Oryzias latipes: one gene and its partner. The protein of the gene in region 2 purifies or fractionates together with the protein of the main gene of each other region. This does not show direct contact. Links are inferred from orthologs where the notes say so. Each region holds a gene or a part of one and is shown on either strand. Other genes may lie near its edges.

The links.
Region 1: the proteins of paxip1 (region 2) and histone-lysine N-methyltransferase 2C purify together in Homo sapiens (affinity purification with mass spectrometry; 4 studies listed by BioGRID and IntAct, with this or other methods). This does not show direct contact. The link is inferred for Oryzias latipes from reciprocal best matches to the Homo sapiens genes PAXIP1 and KMT2C.

What each region holds. Positions count from the first base shown.
Region 1 is NC_019875.2:25,341,699-25,346,124, forward strand, and holds the start of histone-lysine N-methyltransferase 2C, read left to right. Parts: upstream 1-1,583; 5' UTR 1,584-2,002; exon of another isoform or gene 2,003-2,644; intron 2,645-2,802; 5' UTR 2,803-2,849; intron 2,850-4,426. UniProt on the Homo sapiens protein: Histone methyltransferase that catalyzes methyl group transfer from S-adenosyl-L-methionine to the epsilon-amino group of 'Lys-4' of histone H3 (H3K4).
Region 2 is NC_019875.2:13,222,290-13,226,113, forward strand, and holds part of paxip1 (PAX-interacting protein 1), read right to left. Parts: coding exon 3,660-3,824; intron 1,526-3,659; coding exon 1,413-1,525; intron 1-1,412.

The DNA of each region.
Region 1 (4,426 bases), about 12 Mb from region 2:
AAGGGATGCTCCTCCTTTGTCTTCTCAAGAAACTGATGGGGAGAGGTGAAGCAGTTTAGATCAGATGGAACATATGGTGGTAAGTGAGGTCCATGTCACTCAAAATCTTTCTCATTACTACAACCTGTGTAACTGATTGAGTTTACCCTGTGCTGACTGCTTTGTTATTTAAAAATTTAATAAAATACTGTAAAAAAATAAGTTTTTTCTTTTTCTTTTTAAGTAAAAAGAACATAAATTGTGTCTGAAACTAACTGAATGTTTGACAACTAGATATCTACTTAAGAAGCCTTTTCCAATCATTTTAATATGATTAAACGTGTAATTAAAAAAAACTCTGTAAATATTTATTCTAATTTGCATTCAGCTTCTGTAACACATAATTACTTTGGTTACAAAAACATTCACACTATTCAAATGATTATTTAAAAATCTCATCTTTAATTTACTATCCATTTAGCCTCATCATTTGCTTGTCATGTGCACGAGTGTGAATGTTACAACTCTGACCATCGGCCTCAAGCCTTTTAGAGTAATTGGGTCAATACTGGTTAGTGGTGTAAATGCACACCAGCGGAAAGGTCAAAACTTAATAAAGGACACTGGTATTGTGCAATGTCTCCAACTCAGTTGATGTCAGAAACCCTACTGACCTTTGAGATCTGATGCAAAAAAAGACAGGTGAATTCTTCAACAATCAGTGGTGCTGATAAGCTTCTGAGAACTTTTGGATCAGACTAAATTACTGATGTCACCGATATTACAAGTAAAGTACACTTAAAATGTCTTTCCCCTTTTTAAGCATCATAATATTCAATAAACCATTAGTGACATTACAAAAATATTTGTTTTTATACACATATACAAGTTTTCGATTTAGTCAGTGTTTAGTTTACATTTTCAAAAGCTTGAGAAGGTGTATTTTGTGTATATTCTGCAAGCGTTTAAAAAATCCCACTACAAAGATGAGGCAGAAAGCTGTTCCTTCCTCAGGAGTGGTTGGAATTTAAAAGTCAAATTTAAAAATATAATAATCTAACAACAGTGTACAATGTTTTTGTCAATAAAGTTTTTTTTGCAATTTGTTGTCCTGATGCTTTGAGGCATTTAAATTATACAACCAAAAATAGTAATGTATGGTCTCAGCCACCAGGGGGAGCTCACGGTTTGGTAAAGCGGTAACCGGGCACAGTTTGAAGGGACGGGGTTATGTTTATGTCCATTTCTTTTACCTCATGGCTTCACCTGGAGATACTCGTCGTGTCTTATCTAAGGAAGCCGGTCAGGCGGTGGATCGTTGCGGGCATGAAAAGCACGCTGAGTCCACGGATAACGATGTTCCATCCAGCCGCTGAAAGCCGACCTCTGGGGACTCTTCTCAAAGTTAACCCTTGCATGTACAGTATGTCTGCCTGATAGGCGATGAATAATGCCATGCCTGCTGTGTATGTGCGTGTGTGTATGCATTTGTGTGTGCGTCTTCGCCCGTGCGTACGTGCGTGTGAGAGAGAGAGAGAGAGAGAGAGAGAGAGAGAGAGAGCGAGACACAGAGAGAGAGAGAGAGAGAGACAGAGAGAGAGAGAGTCTAAAAGGGGACGCTTTAATTTGGTGGCAGAGAGGGGGCAGTTACGGCTATTTTTCTAAACTACCAAAGCCGTTGCGGATGAAATATAACATCTATTCCAGAGTTAGTCATTTATAATTGTAGAAATCCGACGACGGCAGGATCTTTGTCGCTAGAGAAGGTTTGCAGGGGCTGGAAACTGAACTGTTGACACTCCCACCCCCGAAAAGACTAGAATCCAGTTTCCGTCTTTTGGCTACTTCCTGGCCATTATTTTATTTACTAAATGCTGGTATCCCTCCGCAGGGTCAGAGAGTATTTTGAACAGAATGTAAAACGGTTTGCGCTCTGTTTTCTTGCATGTCGTGCTATCAACGTGTTTAAAATCTGACGGGTTTTTGAAGTGGCACCGTCCTGAGGAGTCACGAGGATTACTAGGTATTTGTTTGCTCAAGTTCTGTCAGTAGGTGGTGGATCTAGATTGTTAGGAGCCTGGAGGGGGATGTGGTTCGATGCCACTTATCATTAGATATGGCCATCGTTTTTAGACTACACCGAGGCGTCATCTTTCCCTTAATTTTGTCATAAATCGTGGGAATTTGGGGTTTTGCTCCGCGTGGCAGGCATAATGTTGTTTTTTGCAAACTAGTGTTTGCTTTCCCATATTTTTGGAGCCAGTTGTTACTGCGTGGCAGAGTGGTTACGAGAGTCTTCTAACTAGCCGCTTGGTCCCGCAGCTTGTCGCAGCTGAAGAAAATAGAACCAGTTGTTGCCAACCCAGCAGTCGGCATCCAACATTTGCTTTGCACAACGCTATACCTTTAAAAAGGATTGTGTTACATTGCTTTATTCCCGGGGCTCTTGCAGTGGCGTGTATTTCGGGGTTTCTTTGTGTGTCTGTGTTAATGATAAAAAAAAATTGCTGGCCATAGACTTGGGTGGCTAACGCCAACTAGCTATATAACCTGAACTCGTGCGACGACAGCTGTCATTGGAGAAAGGAAAGTGATCCCAACAAATGCGCCTGCCAGTGAAGCGGTTTTCTGTTGGATTTACATCAGCTGCTTTCCCGTCAAATGGGTAAAGTTTGGAATTACATTGCAACGCTGGAATACAATGCTATAGATGCGCTGTGCATTTTTGAGAAAGGCTGTGTTGTTTCATTGGAGAGAAGCTAGCTAGCCTTGTTAGCTTGCTAGCTAGCTGTGTGATAAAAGTGCGACGTTTTTATTCCCCAGTGTTTTTGGACATGAAGAGGATAATTCGCTGTCCATAGGGCCGGAAGGTAAGATAAAACCCTCACTTGCATTGTGTTTGTGTTGGCTATATTTACCCAGAATTCGCCTTTTCAAATGAGAGTCTGAGCCAACATTATCCTTCAGTCTGATGTTGGGGGAGGTTGTCGCCGCCTTGGCTTTCATGACTCAGACTGTTCAACGGAACGGAACATAAAACGGGACGGTTCATTATATTTTGCATAACGCCGACTTCGGAGGGCAAAAAATATATATATGGGCTTATTGTCGCGTTTATTTATTGCACAAGTCGGCCAATCGGCAGTTGTGTACAGCCGACATCAATTGTTAAAGGTAGACTGTAAACCAAAGCCTTGTATGTTGTGTAACGTATCATTCACTTTTTGTGAAGCATCGTTAGTTCCTCGAAACAGTTCCGCTGGATTGAACAGTCCGAACCTTTGTGTGTTGGACACCGATAAGTATTGGTGCTTTGATGATGATTAATACATATTTAGCGCCATCTTCCTAAAGTCGGTATTAACATCATGAGACATTATGTTTAGCATCTAACCCCAGCCTCCAGTTGCTGTGAGTTGCCAACTAACTACAGCCAGTGGTAACCTGTTTGCTTTGCGAGCCCCTTTAAGTCTCGCTAGTAGTAGTTGATGCCTTTGCCTTTGTACTGTATTGTTTGACGTAGGCATCAGCCTACTTTCAGTTTGACTAATTTTGACAATGCCTATGTTAGGTTCATCTGCCGCAGAAAAGGCGACATTGTTTAAAACAACACGCTAGCCCTCGCTAGCTTTTATGCAGCTGCTTTGTGCCCAAGCTTGGTTTGACAAAAGCTATCGGAAGGCATGTTTTCAATTGTACCCTGGTGGTCGTGACTGCTGCTTACCCAAGCCTTATATGACATGCACAGTCAGTTACATACATGTAATGTTACAAATCTCACAGATCTCCTCTTGTTTCCTCATTGAAAACCAGTGTGGCCCCATATATCCAGCAGAGCTTTTACTGACATGAAATAGAATTTTTTTTTCTTTCCATGTTAACCTTCTTTTGACAAGTGTTTCTAATGGATGTGACCGAGCAGACCTTGTAGTGGAGGCCAGAATTGACATAAATAAAGAAATTATTTAATCCTAGAGTGAATGAAGGGTTTTTGTTCCAGGAAATTACTAAAAACTGGGGTTTTTTGTAACCCATTTGGCCTCGAGCTGTTAAACATATCTACACAAACTATTACTTTTACTTCTACTGTTTTTTTTATTTTTATTTAACTGGAATCTTTTCTAACGCAGCTCTGATGAAAATACTAAATGGACACCTGCCAAAGCTACACAATTTTTTCCCATTAAAATAATTGTTTGCAAAATACCTTCAGGACCACAACAAAAAAGTGTGCCTTTTTACTTTAATAAAGCAAGAATATATACCTAAAATATTAAAATAGGTATATATAATTGCAGACAAGGATTGAATTCTTCTTTTTTTCTGTATGGTGACCATCATATAAAAACATGTTAGTTCTCATACTGTCACTTGGGAAGGAATCAGATCTTAAGGATGAAATCTGCTCATGTTGTTGCATCTTATTTAATTGACGAAATGTACTCTA
Region 2 (3,824 bases):
AACAGTATAATCTGTAACAATAAAGTATCCGACATGCAATGTTAAATGGTTTTCATGTACATGGTTTGTTATTTGTCTTCTCCCTCCTGTTTTTCACGTAGAAAAGTATCAATAAGAATACCGGATTGATGCCACATTGATAAGAGGAGTAGTATTGATCGAATCTTAACAATACCCATCCCTAGTTTTAAAAGCCCATCCATCCATTCATTCATTTTCAGATCCCAATGCATTCCTTTCAGGGTCAGTGGGTTGCTGGAGCCTATCCCAGCTGCTGTTGAGTGAAGGGGGGTTTATGCTGAGCAGGTCGTCAGTCTATTTCAGGTCCACACATTCACACTTGGGGACAATTTTGAATCACCAATTTATCTATGGATCATGTGTTTGGACAGAGGGACGGAGCTGGAGTCCCCGCAGAAATCCCACACGTGGACGAGGAGAGTATGCCAAGTCCAGCTGGAATTTCAAGCAGGGCGTTCTGCTGTGAGGCAAGAGAGCTAACCACGACACCCCCATGTAGCCTTAGCTTTAAAGGCCTTTTTACTGACAACCATGAACTTAAGGCCTGATCAAACCCTGTGGAGCAAACGTTTTGCCAGGCTGGGATTCAAAAACTGTTTTTTTCAGCTGCAGTCATTGAATGATGGTTATGAAGTGCAGGTCACTGAAACCCATCACCATAGAACACCAAATCTAAATCCTGATCGTGAATTACTCATTTGTTTACTAAACCAAAGTGGTCAGAATGATTCTTCTTGACTTTCCTGCTGCTCCCTTTAGTGGTCGCCACAGTGAATCAACAGCCTCCATCCATTTCTATCCACCCTCCCCCGACATCAACCCCCGTCATGTCCTCCATTACATCCATGAACCTTCTTTCTTTTCCCACATATCACTCCAGTCTTATCACCTTTTACCAACAGAACTACTGATCCTCCTCTCAACATGCCCACAGATCTCAATCTGTTTGCTGGCATCCACCTCCATAGCATCCATCATGAGCTGTTCCTCTGATAGATACTTTCCTGCCACTCCAGACTTCCATCGCATCTGTTGTCTTCTTTTGCCTGAAGCCATATTGTTGATCATAAATGTTCATGTCTGACTTCAGTCTAGTTTCCACTACTCCTAATAACTTCTTTATGCGACTCATCAGCTTATTCCTCTGTTTCCACAACTCAGAACGTCCCTCTTGTTTTTCAAAATACACTTTTACTCCATTCTTCAGGCATCATGTCACTCTTCAAGGTGGATAATCTCATCCATCGTCACGACAACGTTCATTGACAAACACACCCTTGGCAAATACCAAAAACTGAACTCAGAGTCCTCCCAACTGCATTAGAAGGATTAACCACAGAGGAGATAGATGGAGATGGGCAGCAGTAAGTGTGTGTGAAGAAGCTTTTTACATGAGCGACGTTGGGTGGTCGGTTGGCAGTCTGCACATCAGAGGCATTGGTGATGTTGCAGAGGGTTATCATGGCCGTACTCCATCCAGGAATGCCTTCAGGAACCGGTACACCTACAGAAAACAAATGAAAGGTGGAAAAGAAATTCAATCCTATGCAAGCGTTCTCAGAATAGAGCCACGCCATCACCAAAGGATTACATTTTCATCTATCCCTATAGAAGAGGGGCGTCACAATCACAACTATTAAAACAAATTCAATATGGCTTAAAATAAAGGGTTGTAGCTGTGACAAATCCTTAAAATCTTTTAGCAAATTTAGCAACAATTATGAACTTTCAGATTAAAAGGCCACTTTTGTGGTGTAATTCTGGCTTCTCCATTATAAATGCAAAAGTATTGTGTTGCTGTCGGTCACATGACTCACAAAACCTTATTTAAGTACTTAAACTCTATTGGGGGATCATATTTAATGGATTCAATGCATCATGTGCAGGGAAGGGAATCTCAGGGTGACTCTCGATACGACGTGATTCACCATACATGGATCACAATTTCATATTGCAATTATCAATGTTACCTTGATCATCTAATATACCACTATTATATAAACAAATATATCTTTATTTTCGATGAAACCTTTTTTTTAAACAATTTAAAACACAATATATGAATTTAACCATCCTTTGCAACAGTAAAATAAAATGATCAATAAATACTGCTGTGTCTTTGTAATAAAAACATACACTTAATGATAACTAATGAACAAAGCTCCAATTATGAACTAAAATGTATATCAAATAGCCTCAGTGGAATTAAAAATTCACAATGATGTACTTTAATTATTAATATGAACATTCAGACCCATATTTCGTCACACCCTAGTCTTGTGTGCTATTGTGTTTATAGATGACTTTATTAATCCCACGATGGGGAAATTTCATTTATCTGCAGCAGCAACAACGACATTCAGAAATAATATATATAATATAACATCAAAAAGGACATTCATATCAAATTATTAACAATTTTTATTAAAACTAATTAATAAAAATATTATTAGAACTATTATCAAAATGATTAAAATAATTATTAAAAAAAGAGAGCAATTATAATGTCAAGAAGATAGCATCCTTTGCTATTCATTTTCATTAAGTTATGAATGAATATCTGAAATAGATTTTACAAACATATGTATTTTTATCATCTCATCTTTGAAATCAATCATTCATGGAGGATCACAATACATCAAATATTTATCAATTGTACGATTTCCTGGTCATTGCAGGTTTGCGCTGCTTATTGGCTGTTGTACAACAGGTTTTACGGTTGCCATGGTGAATGAAGGATGTGGACTCAAAGAGCATGCCGTAAAAATCTAGATATTTTTCTTCCTGGAACTATTTATTCAGTAAAGCTTGCATTTTTGATGCATTGATTGCTTGCTCTCCATATGACTGACATGAACCCTTTTACACTGGAGCTCTGGTTCACATTCTTTCTACGTCTGTAACTCTACATCCGTTGACGCCATTAATACAATACCAACGGATTCCAAAGAGGAGAAAAATGCCACACCCTATGGTAATGAAGTGCTTCCGAGATCAACATAAATCAAGTAATTCTGTCATGGAGGAAAGCAGCCTTGCGTCATTTATTTGTGCAAAGCCGATATGAAAAGCCGCTTTTCTGGGCGTCAGAATCGGCTGATTCGCCTTCATCCCATAAACCAGGGGTCGGCAACCGGCGGCACCGGAGATGCATGCGGCTCTATCATCCCTGTGTAGCGGCTCTCCGTGGTTTGGTAAAATAACCACCATGTTCCAAGATTGCTGTGGTGCCTTCAACACCATCAGGTAGTGCGAGCGGGCAGGAGGAAGAGGGCAGCGTGAACGCGCGGAGGGGGCGTGTCTGAAGCTGTGAACGCCGACCAGAGTCTGTTATGGGATGGAAAGTTTTTCTGGAAAGACAGTCAGTGGGGATCTCGTAGGGGACAGATGTACATCAAAGAGCGTGTATTATTCGAGTGTCGCCTATGACATCTTTGAACATACAGACTGCAAGAGATCAAAGGTCAATTGGGCTTCCAACACCAATATACCCCAAAAAGCATTACTGTCAATCAAAATATTTATCTGAAACAAAAACATGTCATCTTCTAAATAGGTAAACTTGGGAAAAATTCATATATATGCTGAAAACACAAATACAGGATGGAAACAGTCATCAGAGGCGGGGCTTTACTGACCTTGCTGCGTGGACTGATTGATGGCAGCGGCGGCAGAGCCGGTCTTTGCAGTTGTTGCTCCTTCGCTCCCTGCTACAGAAGGCACAGTGGAACACAGGTTGATGAGGCCACTCCCCGCAGACGAAGCCAGATCCCTGATACCAGGTGGGCCGGTTCGCCGCCTGG